Arabidopsis thaliana: one gene and its partners. The protein of the gene in region 1 interacts with the protein of each later gene in a pairwise test. Each region holds a gene or a part of one and is shown on either strand. Other genes may lie near its edges. The genes, in order: SPIK, PTR1, CHX6A and AT5G13400.

Region 1 (6,721 bases):
AAATTCTCATCAACCTTAAACCATTGTCTAATTTGACAAGGGTTTTAATTCAACTAGACATAAAATACAACTTCACCTCTTTAGGTTGATTGAGCAGATTGCGGATGTTTCGTATTGGTCAGAGAGATGGGAGCAGATTAAGCTCTCTAGAGTCTGATTCAAATATTACCTTCTTGCATTTGAAGCATGAAATAATAATAATATTATAGTGTGTGTTGTCTCTAACTCTATCTCAATCATTGTGCTCATTTTCGGTAATGCTTTGGCTCCCAAGTCCCATCAATATCACTTTACCATCATGGATCTAAACAAAAATGAAAGATGAGATGATAATTCATCTCAGAAATAGGATAAGTCACCTAGAGAGGATTTAAGCTTGATTGGAAAAGATGAGTGAGGAGTTACTCTCAAATCTCGACCTCGCACAAAAGTTATAAATTTTAACACTTGCTTCTTCTTAGAGACTTAGAGAAGAAGATTGTCTAGACGTTTAAGAAAGGACCTTTATCCTTGTATGCTTTCTGAAAAAAACAAGATTGTTTCCATACTTCTTGTAGATTTCGATGTTAATATCATGAGGTTGTTAGAGAGTTCTTTTAACAGAAAATAGTCAACAGGATATATATATATATACATGTGAAAAATAGTAAGCAGTGAATATATACACAAAAGCAAAAAAAAAAAACCTAAAAGATATTTCAATCCCGGAGTTGATTGGGGCTTACGGTTTCCCCTAATATTAGCATCATATCACCACCATAAAGCTTGACTGTGGTGGTTTGCGAGTTTGCGTTAAGACAAATAGTTTTCATTACTCAAAATCGAAAGAGAGTTGCGTGTGAATCAAGGATCCCTTGATAGAAGGAGAAAATCGCCATCTCTGATAAGAGTGATGTCGTCAATTTCAGCTCCTTCTCTCGTAAGTACTTTAGTTGGGACGAATCCCATCTTATTTTCACCAATTTTCAATAGCTCTTCCATAGAATTTGGTAACAAAACAACTTTTCCACCAGTTTCACCGTTTTCCGGCGAACTTATCGTCACTCTCTCCGGATAAATCATACTACCTCCTCCTCCAGGAACCGCTGGACTTCTTGGAACTTCTCCTCCATCATCAGCTGGAAAAAAACCAGAAATGAAAACCAAATTTGTAAATTTGTAAGGAACAGAACAATGTAATGAACGTTGTGAATTGTATATAAGAATGACTATTGTGATGTGAAAAGTTCTGAAAATTATGGTTACGTGACAAGAAAGCAACGAGTATCTAGAGAGCAGATGGAGAGGTGAGGTGGTTTTACCGCTATTTGCAGCTGAAATGATTCCGAAGAGCGAGTTTCTGAAGTTATTGAGTTTCCGTTTCTGAGAAACAACAACCTGACCCCCGTCTAAGACGAGTTCTCCTGAATGCATTGTAGGCTCACTGCTATACTTCATTAATGGCTTCCCTGTCACAGGACTCTGAGGTATTCCAGGGATAGGTTTCGGTTTTTTCTCCACAGGCCTGTGATTATGAAACAAGGTTTTGATTTCTTCATTCCCTTGATGATCGGCAAGACCACGAGGAGTCCATCCGTAAGAATCCGGCCAGTCCAAGTCAGCACCTTGGTCTAGTAAGAACTTCACAATCTCCAAGTGTCCTTCTGACACTGCTCTGTGTAAAGCTGTGGTTCCGTTTCCATCAGGGAGTGTGACGTCGCCGCCATATTTGATGATGTCTTTGAGTGCGTCTAAGCAGTTTTTCTCCACGGCTAAGCCAGAGAAATAGCTCACTGAGTCTAAGCTTAGCTTTGCTCCATTCTCTGCAAGGAGTTTAGCAATTTCTCTATGTCTTCCTATGATTGCTTCCCACAAGGGTACATTGCCTTCGGAATCTGTAAACAATGTACGAGCCACCGATAATTTAGTACTACATGATCCTATCATCCTAAGCTAATTGACCTAGTGAAACATTATTTTTTACTACTTACCTCTAATGTTAGGATCTGCTCCATGTTCGAGAAGTAAAACGACGCAATAATGGCTTCCCTTTGATGCTGCTATATGCTGAGATATTCAAAGAAGAAACATAGAGAGTGAGCAAATTTGGTTTAGGCATTAAAAGGAGGATGATGGTATATACAAAGGAAATCCGGGCTTACCAGCGCAGTTCGCCCGTCCTTATCCATTTCATTAGGGCTTGAGCCTCGTCTTAGTAACTGATGCAGCAATAAATCATCTCCTCTGGCTGCAGCAAAGCACAAGCTGAGAGGTAAATCCATTTTCCCTTGAGCCAACATGTGTTCTGTATCAGCCAAAACGCCTTTCATCACTGGATCTTCTGAGTCTTTTAAATGCTGCATGAACCACAACATATCTGTTATGGAACTGGTCCTGTGTGTCAACAGGTTGAAACAAACTGTACTATTCAGAGTTATTACAAACCTGAAGAAGATTATTCATGATTATTGCTCCATCTCCTACATTTGCCTGAACAAGATTTAAGAGTACTGTACGGTTCAGACGAAGCAACTGACTCAATCGCTTGGTACGAACAGTAAACAGCTGCGGTCTGTAACATAGTACCCCAACTTCACCAAAAACATGTCCTCTCTGTGCTTCACTAACTACCTGTAAAGAAACACATACACAAAAACATTATCAAATATGTTTTGGTTCTCCAATTGCAACAAAGTTAAAGAAGAACACAATCATATCTTAAAAAGAAACGGTATAATAAAAGCTAGACTTGCCTGCTCCACTCCATTTACACGTGCAATTATGTCCTGAATGACATAGGAATGTGTCAGGAATAATACATGATGATAAAGGAATGTGTCAGGAATGTACGAAAAACACTTACAACAGCTCCGGTCACCAATATGTAGAAATCTGTTGGGGCTTCATTTTGCAAAATCACATCTTCTTTGGGAGGAAAATACTCTGCTTTCATTTCCGTGACCTACAGGACACCGTAAGTTAAGACTTAATGTGAATAAAGTGACCACTTTTAGCATGCAGGACTTCTTGCGTTATGGGAAACATACCAACTGGAAAAGAAGATCATTGGATATTCCATGGAACAAGTAAATTTTGTCAACAACTTCATAGAACAGATAATGTGATATGCTGGACCGAATAGCTTTGGGAAGAGAATCGATTATTTCTTGCTGCTGTAAGCCTTCTGAATCAGTTCTGTACCTCAAACACAAATGAGCAACCATCTGATCTTGTAACCGCACTGGCAGATTGTTCCTCTGACCAAACCCTGATGCGGCTTGGATGGTATCTCTCTAAAATAATGCAAATGCTTAAGACTCATGAAACTTCACTGAGACCAGACTAATTTTCAGAGAAGTGCAGTTAACAGTACCGGTACATAGAACTTACAAATTTTCTGGTGCGGCCGGTCACATGAACCACCAAGTTGGTCATATTACCAATTATATATGCTGACAGTCCAAGATTAAAAACCATGTAGAAAAGAATGAAAGTCATCTCTCTTGAGTTAACACCATGTATATCACCATAACCAGTTGTGGAGAAAGTAGTTATGGACCAATACATTGCCGTGTTATACCGCACTGCAATAGGAGACTCTTTCCAATTTTCATCGGTTAATGCCATAAACGTCTTGGATGGATCTGGATAATGTGCAGCAATGGAATAGAGGAAACAAGCACCACAATGAATCACAAAAAGAGTAACCTGCATTACCAAATCAAATACTGTAAATTCACAGCTAAAAAACTGTTCATTTGAAACCAAAAAGAGTGTAAAAAACAAGTAGACAATAGCTACTTACAAGGAGAAGCTTCGAGCAGCGAACCCAAAAGTAACTGTATTTCCTGTCTTTCTCTAACCTGAAAAGAAGACATCAATATTATACTCAGCTGGAATTTAAACGTTTTGGCTGGAACGATAAACCGGCCAAAGAACTCACCTGGCAAAACAATTACTGACCCTACGAAGACGCCATAAACGTAGCATACTGAAAATACCATATCCCTGAATACTCTCATGAAGCAAGCTCCCAAAAATTTCGTAAGGAAATGTGGAAACCACGTCGAAAATCAGCCAAGTCGACGCATATCTCCAAGCTATTCTCTTTGGATCATCGACAAGAAGATAAGTTACCTTGTCCAAGAAGGCAACAAAGAATGTCAAGACTATATCAACAGCGAAAAACCCGTTGACAATGTTATCGAGAATACTGAGAGGTGGTCTTGGCTTTTGCAGAAACCCAAATTCAAAAGGTGATGCCCAAGCTGTGTAGAGCACCAAAAACACCAAAAACGTCTCCCACGCTCTGAAAAATAATGTTTTACCTCAGCTAAACCCTAATTTAGCGATTAGATTAAAACAGAGTCAAAATTTGAAAAAACGGACCTGTAACGAGGATCAAAAGGAGAGACGATGAAGCGAGGGAGAATGACGTCACGAGAGGAACGATTGTTGGCTCCAAGAGAAGGAAGAAGGCCTTTGCTAAGGCTATACTGACTCATCGTCCCGTCGCGAGATAAATGGTCAGCAACATCATCCTCCGCATCTTTGGTTCTTCCTCCTCCTCTGCCTCCGCCTCCTTCGCCGTCGTCTTTCACACCCCAAAACCATACCTTCTTCTTCTCCATGCTTCAGATCCCTCTCTCTTTCTTTTTCCAAAATCAAAATCCCTTGCGGATAAACACGCAAGGTTTTTTTTTTTTTTTCTCCGAATTCGCCGGTTTCGAATTTCCTTTTATATCCTTTTTTCTGTTACGTTTGTTTCTTTCTTTTTTGTTGTGGGCCCCAACAGGTAACTATTTTCCCTCCTTTTTCTGCTTTTGTAGCCACAAAAATAGCAAGTATATTTCGGTTCATTGGTCTTTTAGTGCTCATAGAAACTTTCAAAATTAACAAATTGGCATGTTTTTTTCCGTTTTGCTCTGGGAACTGAATATTAACTATAGTTTTTTGGTTAATTAGGCTTTTGTTTGTCCCCCAAACATACTAATATTACCAATACTTAAAAACATCATACAAGTTTCTGTTGTTCAATAATTGGCAAAATTCAAATAGGAGGACTACAATCCAAAAACGCTTGGTAAATCGAGAAAGAAGGAGGAGGTTGGTTTATGCGCAAATTGGTATTTAGATAATCATTTCCTGGAATCAATCTACTCTGGTACTTGGAAAGCTTAATTGTGACAGTTTTGGTAACTGTGTTAGTTACATGTTTGCGTCTGTTGGCTTTGAATAAAATCAATAACGCAACCCAAGTAACTTTTTCTGCTACTGCTTTTCTGTTTGGTTTCTCTGATGCTTTTAAGTTGCAAAGGAATTTGATTTTATGAAGTTCTGGTGAAACTCAAGCTAGTGACATGTAGAAGCCACAAATCAACTTCAAGTCAAGAATAAAATAATATAAGTAAAACAGGTGGTTCCAAATAATGTCAATCTTACATAGAACACATTGAAAACATTATAAGTTAATGCAGATCATAATGTTGTTCATAAGTTTTGTAACAACCATAAAATTTTGAATTAACATGAGTTCTAAAGAATCAGAAATATTCAATTCGATTATTTTTCTTAGTGTAGAGTATAAGCGAATATAAAACCGATAGTGATGGCATAAGAACATCGCAATTCGCAAGGCTTCTTCTTCCTCTCTGAGTCTTTTCAATTTCTTTAAGCTTGAGACATAGGGAAAAAGTTGGATTTGACAAGCGAGCAGCTAGACACGTTTGATTTATGCAGAGGTCTATACACACCGATCATAATATTTATGCTAACGTTTGAATCCCCGCACCTCGGTAATTCAGCTTGAAATGTCATAGCCTTGATTTCATAAAAATTGAGTACTTTTCTGTAGATTTTGATGACCAGGCCAACTGTACATATACCACCAACAAACAAGCATGGACAGTTCCACAATCTACTGGTCACATTTGCTGAAAGAGTAAAAGTATTCCACACAACCTCAATACTGTCTCAGATAGACACAGTTCATAAAGAACTTTCAACCTAATACTTACCAATCGTCGGCAAACTTATCCAACCTGCAGACTGTAAATGATTATCCTTCGGCTAGGAACAGTTCACAGCCTGTGTAAAGAGGGTATATATATCCAAGAACACCTGAAACAGATCAGTTATGTACAGCCAAAAAGAAAACACAGCACAATTTAAATTATGAATTTTGAGGAAGAAGGGGCATTGTGTTTTGCACCATTCAGTTAACCTCATGCATCAGAGTAAGATCTCTAGAAGCAAGCAAGATCTGCAGTCACCCAACATGGCTACAGTTTTCCTGAAAAATGTAAGGTAAGTTCAATAATCCATCACTGATGAGGAGAAGACAAATGACTCGACTTATCCAGAAGCTTAAACACAATAAACTAAAGTATATATATGAAGAAAAGACATGACTCATCTTAGAACACAGATACTGTAACTTTTGTTTAAGTTTAATCATCCGGAAAGTACAACAAAGAAAATTAGACTATAAGAAGAAAACATCACAATGAGGATTTGAAATTTTCAGTCAGAGTTATTTCCCTTCTGCTGTCTATACAATCATTTTAACAATCCTCCGGTAACAGAACAATATACAACAGTTGATTCCACATTGCAGGGAAGTATGGCCAACACCTGAAGATAAGACTGTCAAGGATCAAAAAGATATAATAGATACTAACAAAATTAACTGTGGGTACCGGCAGACTTGAGATTTCTTAGCTCCATCAAATGTTCATCATTT
Region 2 (5,655 bases), on another chromosome or scaffold:
TAGGTTTGGTTTCATTTCCAGATAGTCCTGCTGGCTATTTCCGCTTCCGCTCATTTAGTGACCAAACCTGGCTTCATCGCACCACCACATTCGTAAAATGACAAAAAAACTTTCTCTTTTTCTATGTGCATATAGTTGAGCTCAATAAAAAGCTTGTTTCTGACTATATATATATAAACCATGGGTTTTACTGAACAAATAAACCCCAGAATCAAAATCTGTTTTTGACGCTTGCTTGTCTCAATCTTGTTAGACAACCTCCAAGAAGCCAAGGGGGCTTCCTTATGCATCCTGATCTTGAGCATTTTCCAAACAGTTCAGATATATAGTCAAAAGTAAAGACATCTTCAAAGAAACAGAAGAAAATACTTGATCTCTTTGTTTAATGTCTAGTAGTAAGTTTACATATGTATTGACAATAGGATCCTATGTGCTTTGCTTTTTGTTAAGATTTCCCATGCTGTTGTTTAGTTTTTGATTTTATTTCCCAGCTTATTGCTTATAACTTCCAATGTATATAATAAGTTTCTTAAGAGCAATGGCAAAATATAGGAGGACATATTATCAGACGGTCAAAAAGCTTTAAGCAAAAAGCTCATAAAATAGTTACCAATAGCCTTTTACATATAAGTGGAAGACTGGAAGTATTCAGAAATACATAAGCAAAACCAAAACAAACCTAACACACCAACAACAACTAGACCACATACAAAAAACATTTACAAGCAAAACACTTTTCAAACAAATACTGTTAACTCCAAATATCTTCCACACCAGTTTCTTGATCAATGTGCTCGACCAACAGCTTTCTTGTATTTGTAGCGTTTTGAAATCCAGAGGTACACTAAGAAGTTGAGGAAACTGAGAGTTGCCAACAAGTAGAAAAAGTAATCAAGATGGCCTCGGTTCAAGTTATCCGGTATCCAACCCGGTTTACCGTTCTTCTTCGTTATCTTCATCACAACCGTCACAAGAACTGTGCTCAAATAGTTCCCCAACGCAACCGTGGTCAACGACAAAGCAGAGCAGAGACTTCTCATGGCATCAGGAGCCTGATCATAGAAAAACTCAAGCTGACCTATAAAGGTGAAAACTTCTGCACAACCGATAAGTAAATACTGCGGTATCTGCCAGAATATCGACATATGGATCTGTTTTTGGTCATATGCATTGTGAGTTTTGACATAATCAAGCCTGACAACCTCCAAGACTCCTGCAGTGATCATGGCAAAGATGGAGACCACAAGACCTATACCCATACGTTGAAGCTGAGTGAAGCCTCGTTCATTGCGTGTGAACTTTCTTGCCAGCGGGATAATGAACTGGTCATAGACAGGAGTCCAGAAGAGTACACTGACAGTGTCGAAAAGTGAGAGTGAAGCTGATGGGATTTCAAAGTTTTTTCCCATGTGTTGGTCCATTGTGTTTCCTTGTAACACAAACATTGTGCTCATTTGGCTGTACACTGTGGCGAAGACTATTCCTGTGGCCCAAACTGGAAGAAGTGTGATTATTGACTTAAGTTCTTCAACTTGAGTAACAGAACATAGTCTCCATGGATTGACTTCCCCGTCTTTGATGCTATCAGATTGACTCTCAACCGCTGCCTTGTCAAAAAACCTGAGATGTTTTCAAAACTTTAGATTTGAAAACAGAGTATTTTTGAAGTTAGGATAAAGATTCAAACTTTAGTTTCTTACTTTAAGTTATCTGTGTGCACAAGTTTCCGGCTACCTTTGATGTTACTCTCATCATCTGCAGTTTCAAAGAGCAGAGACTTGTCCTCTGGAACCTTAACACTTATCTTCCGAAAAGCCGCTACTATAACCTGAAAGATCCTAGTAAGTGGACTCCCTCCAGGTCTCTGAAGTCTGTAAAAACGGCTTCCGAAGAAGAAAAAGCAAACCGCGATAACCATCGCGACTGTTGGAACACCGAAACCCCATCCCCAACCAACATTCATTTGTATCCAGACGAGAACAGTTGCAGCAATGAGAGCTCCAACATTAATGGAGAAGTAAAACCAGTTGAAGAAAGAACTTTTCTTGATCTTCTCATTCTCATCATTCTCATCAAACTGATCAGCTCCAAAGGACGAAACACACGGCTTTATACCGCCAGTTCCAAGAGCAATCATATAAAGCGCGACAAAGAAAACAGCAGTCTGACTAGAATTTGGATGACAAGTATCAGCATTGCAGTTACCTGGTTTAAGTCCAGGAACTGAAGCTGATAATGTCAAAAGAGTCATACCCTTCAAGAGAAAAAACAAACTTAATTAGTTTTAACCAAAAGATTCACATTTTTAACCAAAAGATAAGAAACAAGTAAAACTCACGGAGACATAGATGAAAACAAAAGTTGCAATAGTCCAATATCGTCCAAGGTAAGCATCAGCTATAAAGGCTCCAATCAAAGGAGTTATATAACATGTTCCAGACCAATTCGTGACGTTATTTGCAGCCGTAGCATTGCCTTGATTCAGACGGCTCTCAAGATAATTCACAAGGTTAGTGCCCATGCCATAGTAGGCCAATCTTTCACAGCACTCATTTCCTACACAAAACACATAAAACTGGTTAATCTTATATGGATAGATCCAATCAGGGCCCAAGCTATATAATAAAAAAATATAATGGCCCTTTCTTTATTTAGACAATTTTTTTGAAGAAAACAGAGCAGATTTTAGGTTTATAACTCTTTTTTCATAGTGATCACCCTACAAAACTAAACATTTCCAATAATATTTTAAATTTTATTTGTTCTCTATCATTCAATTTGCTTTTAATCGTATATAATCTCTTTTTAATCATTACATTTATTATTTACATGTAAATGTTTTTAGTGGACCTTAAAAAACAGGGGACACGAGAGGCCATTACTTAAGCTGGTCCAGGTCCTATACGGCAATAATGAAGAAAAAGATTGGTGAAACGATTAGAACGTTACCGAGAATGAAGCGGCAAGCTTTCCAATTTCCGGTTTTCTCCTTGTTTGCAGGATTTTTGTGAATATCAACAGTTCCATCTTGCGTATACACATCTTTTTCTTCCATATTCCTAATAAAGAAAAATAGTTTAGCTTTTTCAAGAAAGATGTACCAAACACATACCTAAAGATCCCCAATTTAGAGATCCATACTTCAGGTATAAGGTTATGAGAAAACCCTTAAAAATATACGTGAAAGAAATTGACTAGTAGATGCTTAGATCGAAATATGCAGATGAAGCAAGCAAGTACGAAATTTTCATGCTCTGAAATTATAGTTTATGTGTGACCAGATGAGGTTATGGTTGTAACTTGTAACGAAAGGAAAACTCATAAAAGACTTAGAAAAAAGGGAGAAACCTTTGTCGGCGGCAGCTGAATCAGCGGCGGAGACGAGAGGCAAGAAGAGAAAAGAGTAGCCGAGGGCGAGGAATTACACGGCACTTGTCGGAGTAATAATGAGCATGAGCTTATAAAAAAGACTTGCAGAGCTCTGGTCCCGTACAGCTTTTATATCCAAGGAAATAGAAAGGAGCGTTGCTCACTTTTCTTCTCATGTTTGCAGTTTAACCCTTTGAGTTTTTGTATATTTCAGTTAGAGCCGCAAGGCCTATTGTGCTATCAGATTTTGATATTATCTTGTTTTGACTCCAAAGTGTAAATAGATCAATATCGAAGGACGTGTTAATCATCCACCAAAACTTTAGTGGACTCTTTTTGTTTTTTATCCGATATTACGGAATTGACATTACCAGAAAGATAACAAGAAAGAACTCCTACTCAAAACAAGAAAGATACAAGTGTGAATACAAACACTTTGGTCAATAAGATGATTTGGAGTTTTCTTATAAAATTGAGTTCATACTCTTTCTTTTTTTATTTGAAACTTGTGTTCATACTCTAAATATCAGATTGTCGATTTTGAAAAAAAAAAATAGTTAGGTTTATTAAATTTGGTTTTGGTTGATGTTTGATTTTGGATATGTGAAAATAAAGCCAAAAACATCACTAGATTCAATATTCAATTTGGTGGTTCAGTCTAAATCCATTTGATTAAATCTCTAATCACTCCCTCGATTAAAAACATTGTTTCAGCTTTAAGGTCTCAGTGGATCTTAAAATATAAACTAGGGTAGTGATATTAGAAAGATAATTAAAGGTGTTTGATTTGGTTATGCTAAAATAAGAGGTGCTAATGACAATTAGTAATAAAGTAACCGTTGATCTAAAGATTCACCGAGGACGAATATTAAAAGATGCATGTGAATCGACATATGTAGCTGGATCCTGTTTATCTACGAGGATTTGGCTGTTTATCGACTTAGTTGTTGGACTTGAACTCTTTACTCCAAAAGCCCAACAAACTAAAGAGACAAAACCAAAAGTAAAATTTGATGTTTATGAAGCTAAATTTGAAAAAGAAAATATATCTGACCAAATTTGATATTTATAAAGAAAACATATTTGATGTATTTAACAATTTTTAAATTGATGACGTTTAGTTGCAAACAAAATAAATAAATAAATAAAATAGGTAAAAAACAGTGTGCTTTGATTGCTTTTATTTCATTGGAAGTCTTACCACGGCTTCCATACTCTTGTAGTCAACTTTTCTTACATATTCGTCTAATCAGTTATACCAATATATACTTTTGAAGTACACTAACTAGTTTTTGTTTTTTTTGTTAAAACATTAACTAGTTGTTGGGATGTGACATCGAGACTATGATGTTTCAAGGTGGATTTTGTGCAACGTGAGTAAGTAATCTTTGATCAGTGGTTTGAACTTTGAACTAATCATTATATCATTTGACACATTTTAAAATCAAGAACTAATAATTAACTATAAAACTTCAACGTTGATATGAAAGGTTGTTGCGAGGTCCAACTTTAATAGAATAAGTACGAAAATTGTTGTCAGATCTAACTGAAAATATAAGTAAAAGATAACACTTGATAGATCCACAAATCAATGATGTGCAATTATATAGAAATTTGGATCACTCATATTTGATTATTATTTCACGGGAATCATAGTAGTTGACCTTTTGATTCTAGTCTAATCCATTGATTCTTCAAATCCAATTAAGAAAAACCAATTTGTGCTTCAATTCAAAGCATTCTTTTTTTTTTTTCTTTCTGAAATTAAGATCAATTCTCTAAGCTAGCTAAAACGTATACTTGAGAGCTGTTTGGGAAGATAACTCTCTAGAAAGAAAAGCTAAAAGGTAATCTAGGTATCATCACTATCGACGACAACTTTGTTTGCCATTAACTTTTTAAAAAGTTGTAACTAATCTCACAACAGATCAAACCTGAAATAAGCGTGTAGTTTTATTTTATTTTATCAAAAGGTTAGATAAATGAATTAAAAATTCCTTATTTTTGGGCGTCAAGAATTCACATCCACGAAAACATTATATTATGACCGCTAAAGAAAGGTTACATCTAGGCTTTTTTTTTTTTTTTTTTTTTTTTTGTTTTGTGTATGGTGAATGGAAACTCCAATTTTCATTTCTTTTCGCCACCAGATGTTTCCATTTTACATAAAGTCTTCAAAATTTTCTTTGGAACTCCCAAATCCAATAATTGACATACTCAACATGAACTTTATTACTCAGTTGTACAAAAACCAACGGCTTTAATACGGAATAATGAACTGATATC
Region 3 (5,836 bases), on another chromosome or scaffold:
CTTTTCTCATCGTTGTTCCACATGAACTCTTTGCGCCAAGTCGCATTTTCTGCATCCATTTGGGACAAATCTTGTCTACGTAAAACCAAAAAGAACAAAAAAAAAAATTGACAATGAAAAGATTTTGCAGTCAAAAAAAGAACTAAAATTAAAACCGGTCTGATGGTTTCACACAGATCCCAAAGGATCTCTAAAATTAGGATAAGGGTATAAATATAGGGATTGTCTCGTCCAGGTGTTGTCTTTGTTTTTGGCGCTTGTAAGTTGTATTACTTTAAAATAAAATGACCTCTTTAGGCAGTCTAAATAAACGCTTTACCCATTTTTAATAAGATGATCCATTAATTAAGACCTCAAATTCAATCTTTTATCAAAGGGAACAGAGCAGAGTACTCTGTTAGGTACCAAAATCTCTTTTTGTTGAGAAAAACAGAGTATTTTGCTCTGTTCCCTCTGATATCTCTAACACATACTAAACTTAATTATAACGTGACAAAGTGTGTATGTTAAACAGACCCTGTTACTACAAGAGAATATATATTTTTGAATTGTGATAACAAAGGCAGCTATAGTTGGAAGGCGTTATCATAGAGCAGGCACTGCCACAAGAAATTACTCTAATCTTGTTAACTCAAAATTTGATTAAAAAAATCGTGAAGTTTATATCATCATATCCAGAAGAAACTCGAATCAATTACTCCATAACTTCAAGCAGCCTAAAACTAATGTTTATTGATGTAGAGAAATACAACATTGAAAAGCTGAGCATTGAACATATCTCGCATTATTTCTTAGAAAGATTTTCTCCTTTGGCTTTTTGTATGATGAATGTACACTTGTTTTTGAACAACCAACACTGATGCACTTGAAGGATATTCATGTGATGCTAATAAATCTCCAATAGGTCCCAATTCATTGAACTCTGTCCATTCACTAATTCCGCTAGTAGCCTCAGTTCCTATTCCGCTGCCGCTTCCAACGATAAACAAGTCATAATCATTTGCCATTGCTCGTAAGATTCTTGAGGTCTCAGATCCATCAGAAACCGCCTTATCGATATATGTCACCTTGGCATCATTTTCTTTGATGTTGGACCCAACGATGCTAGTCACGGACTCCTTTAGGTTAATCGATTGCTGTTGCTCCCACTCATCGTTATCCATTTCAGAAGATTTTGGAATGAATCTTATGATCGTTAGCCTTGTTCGTTTTTCTGTCAGTCTCATTCGATTTGTTATCGCCAAAGCTTCTCTATCGTCTTTTCCACCGTTAAAAATCAAACATATCTGCAAAGATGAGAGTTTTATCAGGTTAAAAATGCTAATATATTAGTACCATTTCTTTTGTTCATCATAAATGGTAAAGGAAAATGAAAAGATTTTCTTTCAGCATTTAATTTCATTTAGACGTTGCAAAAATATTCTTTTAGATTTTATAAAATTCTGAAATTTGTATTTTCACGTACCCAAACGGATAATTAATTAGTTTTCAAAATAAAATGAAAAGCACCTTGCTGTGGGACTTAGCCATATGAGATTCAACGATGGGCTTGCGATAGACGAAGATTCCAACAGAGCATGGGGCTCGTCTCAGGACGTTAACGTTGAGCATTCTCAGATTATCATCGTTGGAGATAACCGTGGATCGATCAACGGACCAGGTTCGGTGGAAAGGAAGCACAATCAAAGATAGGCTTCTGGATAGGGCTAGCCAACAAATGTCCTCATGCATGTGTTGGGACACGGAGACGGAAGTGAAAATATCCAACGATGTGTATTCAAAGAATTGTCTTTGGAAGCCACGGAAGGAGATTATGACATTGTCAGACAGAGAAGTACTTCCGGGCTCTGGTTTTTGCAACTGGTGGGAAATGAACATAGGATTGGCTTGACCCACAAGCTCGACGAGGTGAAGTATGTTACACGCCATTGGGGAATCTTGTGATGGGCTAAAAGTTTCCAAGAGGTCGGTCATGGAAGTTATGTGATCAGGTCTGTAGACGCACATAAGACATTGGAGAGCCGCACCGTCTTTCAAGATGCCCAAATTCCTTTTTCGGTAGCATCTGAATCTTTTGGTTGGGTCATGCACGAGCTCCAAGAGCATTGGTATAAAGATAGAGTTCAAGAGGGTGTAGGCAGCTAGGATTGTGAAAACCTCTGGCCTTATTAGCTGTGAAACATGTCCAAAGATTTGATTAATTTTTATGAAAATAAACTAATTCTTCTGACTTTAAATATATATAGAAGAGTTTAATTGTACGCACCTTTAATTCAACCGCGTACGTGTAGTAGGCGAGCTCGAAGATCCCCTTATTACTAAGCACAAGGGCTAAAGCAAAAGAGTCTCTCAAGGGCATTTTAAAAGCATACGCGGTTATGGTGGTAACAACGAATTTTGTGGTATTCACCAAAAGAATAAAGGAAATGACCTCATAGATTTGACCCTCCATCCGTATTAAATCTCCACTCTCTTTGAACAACCGTAAGAGATCTACTTGCATCATGGTTAATGATCCAAAGAGTGGCAAAATAGAGCCAAGATTAAAGCTCTCAAACTTTTGAATCAAAGTAGTACCTAAAGGATATCCATTTGGAACCGTCAAGCCGAAAACAAATGATCCCGCGGGTCCAAAAAGATGAATAACCTTGTTAAAAAAAGTGAAGCAGGCGAAAGCAATCCCAAAAATCGAGTAGAGGTAGAAATCCTTGACCGGCCTCCCTTCTGGAGTCTGCTTGATCACCCAATACATAGCCGGCCGCACAACGCATATCATAACGACGACAAAGAGGCAGAAACCTACGGTTTGCATGAAGCCGTACAATTTTTCGTAGTAGATTGCATTAAAAAATGTTACACCAAAAGCCAACATGTCAGTCACCATAGCCCCAGAGAGGGCTATCCTCCCAAACTCTGAGTGTTTGATCTGGAGGTCTTTTAGGAGTGTGTCGATGCTCGTGAACGCGGATATGCTTTGCAAGAATATGATCAACCTGTATTCCATCCTTAATATGCTTGAGTCCCCTCTTCGTTCTCTATATCTAAAAGTGAGGCTGCCACAAATCAAGGGTATAATTACTGTAATGAATCCGATCACACTAGACCTTTTCTCCGTCCTAAATGGCAATTCGGCATCCATGGTCACACCTTTGAGGAACCAATATAAAACGAAGCCGAAAGCCCCTAGGGTCTCGGCCACCTTTGGTCGGTTATCATCAGGGAAAAAAATGTCATGGATCCAAGACTTGTTGCTGAAATGGCAAGTTTGACCTAAAATTATCCCTGCCTTCAACAACAAGGCATTACAACGTTTAGGAATATGCACCGTACTGATTTTAAAATTTAAAACGTGGAGGGAAGAGGGAGATTAAGAAAACTCACGATCATCATATATGTGAATCTAGGTACTCGAAGACCAATTTTGTTGAATGAGATGTCGAGAAGCCGCCATATAAAAAAAGTAGAAAAGATTAAGATCTCGAGATTCGGGAGCGGATATTCCCAGAAGTTCATCCCTCTCTTGAAAGTCATAACCTCCCATATCCCGTGCGAATTTACTATGTGAGGGTGTGACTCGCAGAAGATAGACGAGTTCTTGTCTTCATTGAATTCTCCCCATGACACGTCCCAATAACTCATGTCTATCTCCTCTGTAGCCATTTTAAGGAGAAAGACAAAAGTTAACGAAGAGACTTGCTTAGGGATCAAGAAGATCTAATGGAATGATTTAGGGTTTGTAATTCGATTGGGAAAGAAGAAGACTAGGGATGGTTTTGTTATAAACGTTGACTAATTAAGGTCGAATAACCAGCAAACAACAGATACGCATCTCAGGTACAGTTAATATTTACCCATTTTGTTTTCTTTTTATAGCTTCATTCTTCTCCATCTCTTGTTCCTTGTCAACATTAGCACACGTATGATTGTACATCGTCTATTTCACCAATCAACAACGCCAAAGCTATACATATAACGATATATATTTAGGGAATTTTGCATCCACTTGCACACTTTCTCAGGGATATATATATTTTTGTTTTGACAATTTTTTCTATGTTTGGTGAAATAGGAACTTATACTTTAAAATCACCATACAAATTAAGTCATTCAAACAGCTAAGCATGCAAATTAAACCAAATAATATAGCAAAGGAAAATGGATACTAAAAGAGTCTTACTAATCAAGGCAGGGTAAGATAAATAACAATATAAACTAAAGAATATTGTACCTAGGTCAGGATACCAAATTACTCTCTTATAAAATTTCTCCAAATTCAAAATTACTAATTAATGCTTGAACCCTACGTATACGTAAAGCATAATCACAGGATTAAGATTCTTCCAAGTAGTTAGGCATTAAATATTCATTGGCTAGTCGTATTTGTGGTCTTAAGACTATAAAGAAATGAGAACAAGTGTAAATCACCTACAAACCATTTTGAACTCAATTCCTATTGGTTGGTAATAGATTCCTCTAAAGGTTTTAATTGGGTAATTTCATTGAATGTATACTACGTGCGTGAAATTCTCATCATTTTTAATGATCAAATTGGTGGCAAGTAGGTCTTTTAAGACTATATACTAATTTGCTATGTAATTTATTTGTCTAGTTTGCTTATTTTTGCCGTTTTTCTTTATTGTATAGCGAAAAGGAGATTAAAACTTGTAAAACATGTAAATAGATGTAACTCTCACATTGAATGTTAATTTAATTATAAAACATGTACTATTTTTTTCTGATTTCATTGTTTTTAAAAAATTATGTGGAATCAATTAAATTTAAAGTCATATTTGCAAATGTTATCATCACAAGGCCACGGAGACGAACTGTCACTTAAAAATTTGGGGCTACAAATGTGTCTCGTGTGAGAAGTGTATTTCTATTTTTTGTATCTTATAAATGAATAAAGAGTAGTTGCCAATGTAATATCATCTACAAGCTACATTCTGTTGTTGTTGCACCACCAACACCGACCCTCTACGGGGAAAATCTTGAGACACCAACAGATCTCCAATCACACCTAACTCATCAAACTCCGTCCACTCACTCAATGCACTCACCACGTCGGTCCCTACTCCGGCGCTCCTCCCCACCACGAATAAATCAAAAGAATTAGCAATCGAGAGAAGGAGTGTTGATGTGTCGGAACCGTCGTTAACTGTCTCCTCTACGTATTCCACAAAACTATGTTGTCCAACAGTATTGTTATTGTTCCTCAGAACCTCCTTAACCTCTGCCGAGTCCAGCATCTGATCCCACCCTGTAGTCATCCCATCCATTTTCGCTGGGATTAGCTTCAACACTGTCAGGTTCACATTCGGATTCCTCATCATTTGCCTTCCCAATGCCAAGGCTTCTCTGTCGTCTTTCCCGCCCACGAAAATTGCGCAGACCTGGTTTTAGACAAATCAAGTTTCACACGTAAACACAAATTCAAGCACGGAAACTAATGATTAGCGTATGGAACAATCAAACCTTCAAATATGTGTTACCTCAAAAGACGGACTGCTCTTTTGCGCAGATAAAAGCTTTTGACGATGGACAAAGATCCCCACGGAGCAAGGTGCTTGTCTCAAGACATTTAAGTTAGCGTTCCTACGCATGACATCGTCTGAGACCACCGTTGTCTGGTCAAGGGACCATATAATGTGGAAAGGGAGCATGAGAAAAGAAGCTTGTTTGTCGAGAGCGAGCGAGTAAATCTCTTGATGCATGTACCTAGGGTTTGAGATGCATGTGAACAATTCCAGCGATATCGATTTCCAGTAATGTTTGAAGTTATCAAAAGCGATTAGGACGTTGTTTGAATAAGACCGGTTTCCAGGTTCGGCTTTTT
Region 4 (4,765 bases), on another chromosome or scaffold:
GTCTGGTCTTCAGTATAAGGTCACCCCTCATTAGTCCCATATCTTATATCTAATATAGTTTAGACTATGCGGTGATCATTAACTTGAAGATTTGAGATGCTGCAGGATTTGCGAGTAGGAACTGGGCCTATAGCAAAAAAGGGAGACAAAGTTGTGGTAAGGAAATTTCTGCATATCTATGGTTTTGTATCCTTGGTCTCAAGTTTATCTAGAAGTTTGCTCTGGTTAGAGAGTTTGGAGTTTGCTTTGCTTGTATCTATGTTAGCAAATTAATGTTTCAAAGACCATAGGTTTTGCTAGTAGTTATAAATAATTGAAGCTGGGTATGTTAGGTTGACTGGGACGGTTACACAATAGGGTACTATGGACGCATATTTGAAGCTCGCAATAAAACAAAAGGGGGTTCTTTTGAGGTATAAACACGTTTTGGCTCTTTTTTTTTTTGTTTCATTAGCTACAATGATACAGTCCTTAATCTTTGTTTTCTTTTTGTGAATCTGTAGGGCGATGATAAGGAATTTTTCAAATTTACCTTAGGATCCAATGAGGTGGGCGAAATTCCAAGTCCTTCTAGTTGCTATATGGGTTTTACCGGTTTAAAGAATGGATTTTGTTACTGATTGTATGAATTGTTTCTTTCTGGATGCTGCATGATTTTGGTGTTCCAGGTGATACCTGCTTTTGAGGAGGCTGTCTCTGGGATGGCTCTCGGTGGTATCAGAAGGTTCAACATCTTTCTAATATTTCTAACTCTACACATCCTCCATATGTTTTTCATATAGAACTCACTCTTCACACAAATGGTAGACGGTAGAATGAATCAGTGTAAATAATTAGCTTGGTATTGCAGGATAATTGTACCGCCAGAACTAGGATACCCGGATAATGACTACAACAAGAGTGGGCCGAGGCCGATGACTTTCTCTGTGAGCCTTATGTTTGTTTTATGTAAACATGTATAAGAAAGACATAAGTTTTAAATGTTGTCTCTTTATGTTTGCGCAGGGACAACGTGCATTAGATTTTGTGCTGAGGAACCAAGGGCTCATAGACAAGACACTTCTCTTTGATGTTGAACTCCTCAAAATTGTACCCAATTGATGTAACATCGACAGTCTTAACTCACGTACATATATATTTATTTATGATGTGTATACTACATTGGCACATTTGTGTAAATTGAGCTCAGTTTATATCATATAATGTTAGCTCTTTTTAGGAGTGTTAAAAAAAAAAATAGCCATGCATCACCAACTAACTGTTCATCATGTTAATTCTGCTTCCTCTTTTTAGTTATATTATCCCTTATAGTGAGGTAAGTTATTATAACATTTCATAGAAAGTTTAGAATAAAATGAAATGTGAACACAAAAACCAGTGTAAGCAGCTTCTGTTGTTTTGACTTTATTGAGTAGCCAATGTTGGTTCAATGTCAGAGTCATCATTAATGGAGACTGCAAAAATAAAAGAACAAGTTGCAGTGACGCATTGTAGAAGTCCTTCAATGAGTTTATGTCTTTCAAGGACAAAACATATCAAATGAATCCACATTTCTCTAAATAAGTCCTTTCTTGAACGTTGAAACTGTGGACATCATGGGAGTCCACGTGCAATAAATGCCAGTCCTATATCTACCACTTACCAGCTAAGCTCCGTCTATTTAATTCCATCTTCCCATTTTAAGCTACTGCATTTATACATTTCTCTAACCAATCCTCATACATCCTTTTCTGCTTACAGATTTTGTTTGGCTGGATTAATTATTTCATTTATTAACTTAAGCTCTCTTGCTGTTTTTGGTCACTCTGATGCTTTCAGTTTCCATGGTTTTATGAGAAAATATCATTGATTATGGTTGCTTCTGAGATTAAATCCCCGGTGAGTGTCCCCGAGACTCCGGGAAGCTCCTCTGTGCATCATAGGAAGCAGTTGAGTGTGTTCTTCATAGAATCAGATAACAGACGTCTTGCTCTTGGCCGTGGCTATACCGGAGGAACCACTCCCGTTAACATCCATGGCAAACCCATCGCCAATCTTTCCAAAACCGGTGGTTGGATCGCAGCTTTCTTCATTTTTGGTAACTTTCTTTTCACTTACATCTAGATTATCAGTAGTTCTACGTGCAGTGCAGCTTAGTTTTGGTGGAATGGTTGCAATGTTTTAGGAAATGAAATGGCAGAGAGAATGGCGTATTTCGGACTCTCGGTGAACATGGTGGCGTTCATGTTCTACGTAATGCATAGGCCTTTTGAAAGTTCATCAAACGCAGTCAACAACTTCCTTGGCATCTCTCAAGCCTCCTCTGTTCTTGGAGGCTTCTTAGCCGACGCTTACTTGGGTCGATACTGGACTATTGCCATCTTCACTACCATGTATCTTGTCGTAAGTAGTACTGTTTTGTTCTCTGTATTTTGTTTATTTATTTATTTATGACTTATGGTTAAGGTCTTGTGCAAATGGTGCAATTTGAAGAACATCGTCTAATACGCAAGACCGAACATATGTTATGTGATGGATACTTTGAAATCTTTTCTTTTCTTTTGTTTTGCATGTGAAAAGGGTTTGATAGGAATAACATTGGGGGCAAGTTTGAAGATGTTCGTACCAGACCAGAGCAACTGTGGCCAGTTATCATTGCTCTTAGGAAATTGTGAAGAAGCCAAATCTTGGCAAATGCTTTATCTCTACACGGTTCTCTACATAACCGGATTCGGAGCTGCTGGTATAAGGCCATGTGTTTCCTCATTTGGTGCTGACCAGTTTGATGAGAAGAGCAAAGACTACAAGACACATTTAGACCGTTTCTTCAACTTCTTCTATCTATCGGTCACTTTAGGCGCAATCATTGCCTTCACTTTGGTGGTATATGTTCAAATGGAACTTGGTTGGGGTATGGCTTTTGGCACATTGGCCGTAGCCATGGGGATTTCTAATGCTTTGTTCTTTGCTGGTACACCGCTTTATCGGCATAGGTTGCCTGGTGGTAGTCCCTTGACTAGGGTAGCTCAGGTCTTAGTTGCCGCTTTCCGCAAACGAAATGCAGCTTTCACAAGCAGTGAGTTCATCGGTCTTTACGAAGTTCCTGGCTTGAAATCTGCTATTAATGGCAGTCGTAAAATCCCTCATTCCAATGATTTCATGTAAGGCTTCTTCTTTTGTGTACATCTTCCTATAAGGAAAATAAAACTTAATACTAGTATTTATCAGTCGAATGAATTCATATGCAGATGGCTAGACAAGGCGGCACTTGAGTTGAAAGAAGATGGATTGGAACCATCTCCATGGAAGCTATGCACAGTAACACAAGTAGAGGAAGTGAAGATTCTGATCAGATTGATTCCAATCCCAACATGCACTATAATGCTGAGTCTGGTCTTGACTGAGTATCTTACACTCTCAGTGCAACAAGCTTACACACTCAACACACACATTCAACACCTCAAGCTTCCAGTGACCTGCATGCCAGTTTTCCCAGGCCTAAGCATTTTCCTCATTCTCTCCCTTTATTACTCTGTCTTCGTCCCTATCACCAGAAGAATCACTGGCAATCCTCATGGTGCTTCCCAGCTTCAAAGAGTGGGCATAGGGCTAGCAGTTTCAATCATATCAGTAGCTTGGGCTGGGCTATTCGAGAACTACAGGAGACATTACGCGATACAAAATGGTTTTGAGTTCAACTTCTTGACCCAAATGCCTGATCTAACCGCGTACTGGTTGTTAATCCAGTACTGTCTCATCGGAATCGCAGAGGTTTTCTGCATAGTAGGGCTATTGGAGTTCCTTTACGAGGAAGCTCCGGATGCTATGAAGAGTATTGGTTCGGCTTACGCTGCTCTAGCCGGCGGGTTAGGGTGTTTTGCTGCCACCATTTTGAACAATATTGTCAAGGCTGCGACTCGGGACTCAGATGGGAAATCGTGGTTATCGCAGAACATAAACACGGGGAGATTCGACTGCTTGTACTGGTTGCTCACACTTCTGAGCTTTTTGAATTTCTGTGTGTTCCTTTGGTCAGCGCATAGGTACAAGTACCGAGCTATCGAGTCTGAGGAAGACAAGAGTAGTGCTGTTCTTTAAAGACACCACTTCTGTGTTCTCTTCTCGTTATTCTTTTTGATAAAACAGCAGTAATTGTATCATCCTACTTTGCTTTCCTATAGCTAATGTTTAAGGGTGGAAAATCCGCTAAACGTGATTGTTCGTTTGTAAGAAGACCAATAAAATTAAGTTGTTCAAACGTCGTATATTGGCAATTTCCAATGCATCCACTGAGAAACAAAGCTGGGAAATGAAAACACTGTTTCACAAATTCTGTTACAAAAAGGGTCGAAAACATTACTAATCAATCCTACGACTGTCTAAATATACCTCAGCCCTTTCATATATTGTTGCCTAGATATCACATACTGAGCCGCAGAGTAAACAATGCCTAAAACTCCCAGAACCCTAACTTGAAACACGTCTGTTATTATTACGGCTGCAAAGCTAAGTGGCACGGTCAGCATCGGCGACGCGTCTGTGTGTTTGGTGGTGTAACTCCAAACGTACCTGTTGAATATGATGTGACCTGGTGCTGTGAGTATTAGGAGAGCCAGGTTCTTCACCGCAAAAAACCATTCACGGCCTCCAATTTCGACTCCCCAACCTGTGTTTCCACCAAACCAAACTTCTTCCCATACAGTGTAGAGCGAGGATAATGCCAAATATGTTGATATGGCTACTGTAACCGGGAAGTATCTCTGTTTATCACCAAACCCGGATAAGA

Evidence for each region.
Region 2: the proteins of SPIK (region 1) and PTR1 interact in a protein complementation assay, tested with the Arabidopsis thaliana proteins (one large-scale study listed by BioGRID).
Region 3: the proteins of SPIK (region 1) and CHX6A interact in a protein complementation assay, tested with the Arabidopsis thaliana proteins (one large-scale study listed by BioGRID).
Region 4: the proteins of SPIK (region 1) and AT5G13400 interact in a protein complementation assay, tested with the Arabidopsis thaliana proteins (one large-scale study listed by BioGRID).

Annotation. Positions count from the first base shown.
Region 1 is NC_003071.7:10,892,492-10,899,212, reverse strand, and holds SPIK (Shaker pollen inward K+ channel), read right to left. Parts: upstream 4,961-6,721; 5' UTR 4,611-4,960; coding exon 4,369-4,610; intron 4,289-4,368; coding exon 3,923-4,288; intron 3,843-3,922; coding exon 3,785-3,842; intron 3,688-3,784; coding exon 3,370-3,687; intron 3,273-3,369; coding exon 3,027-3,272; intron 2,942-3,026; coding exon 2,843-2,941; intron 2,766-2,842; coding exon 2,733-2,765; intron 2,611-2,732; coding exon 2,425-2,610; intron 2,337-2,424; coding exon 2,142-2,336; intron 2,047-2,141; coding exon 1,971-2,046; intron 1,875-1,970; coding exon 1,302-1,874; intron 1,119-1,301; coding exon 844-1,118; 3' UTR 541-843; downstream 1-540. Other genes in the region: AT2G25590 (Plant Tudor-like protein), read right to left, coding at 5,441-5,654, 5,771-5,912, 5,997-6,048. UniProt on the Arabidopsis thaliana protein: Highly selective inward-rectifying potassium channel that could mediate potassium uptake in the pollen membrane. Plays an important role in pollen tube development.
Region 2 is NC_003074.8:20,045,100-20,050,754, forward strand, and holds PTR1 (peptide transporter 1), read right to left. Parts: upstream 3,647-5,655; 5' UTR 3,349-3,646; intron 3,092-3,348; exon of another isoform or gene 3,060-3,091; 5' UTR 3,056-3,059; coding exon 2,950-3,055; intron 2,557-2,949; coding exon 2,339-2,556; intron 2,255-2,338; coding exon 1,701-2,254; intron 1,621-1,700; coding exon 786-1,620; 3' UTR 504-785; downstream 1-503. UniProt on the Arabidopsis thaliana protein: Peptide transporter. Mediates the transport of di- and tripeptides. High affinity transporter with low selectivity. No transport of amino acids.
Region 3 is NC_003070.9:2,551,415-2,557,250, forward strand, and holds CHX6A (cation/H+ exchanger 6A), read right to left. Parts: upstream 3,816-5,836; 5' UTR 3,661-3,815; coding exon 3,382-3,660; intron 3,287-3,381; coding exon 2,267-3,286; intron 2,173-2,266; coding exon 1,510-2,172; intron 1,287-1,509; coding exon 792-1,286; 3' UTR 521-791; downstream 1-520. Other genes in the region: CHX6B (cation/H+ exchanger 6B), read right to left, coding at 1-59; ATCHX5 (Cation/hydrogen exchanger family protein), read right to left, coding at 4,929-5,393, 5,493-5,836. UniProt on the Arabidopsis thaliana protein: May operate as a cation/H(+) antiporter.
Region 4 is NC_003076.8:4,296,166-4,300,930, reverse strand, and holds AT5G13400 (Major facilitator superfamily protein), read left to right. Parts: upstream 1-1,666; 5' UTR 1,667-1,851; coding exon 1,852-2,077; intron 2,078-2,164; coding exon 2,165-2,382; intron 2,383-2,559; coding exon 2,560-3,140; intron 3,141-3,227; coding exon 3,228-4,077; 3' UTR 4,078-4,243; downstream 4,244-4,765. Other genes in the region: AT5G13410 (FKBP-like peptidyl-prolyl cis-trans isomerase family protein), read left to right, coding at 1-19, 106-156, 333-413, 504-548, 669-724, 851-926, 1,006-1,101; NEF1 (no exine formation 1), read right to left, coding at 4,359-4,765.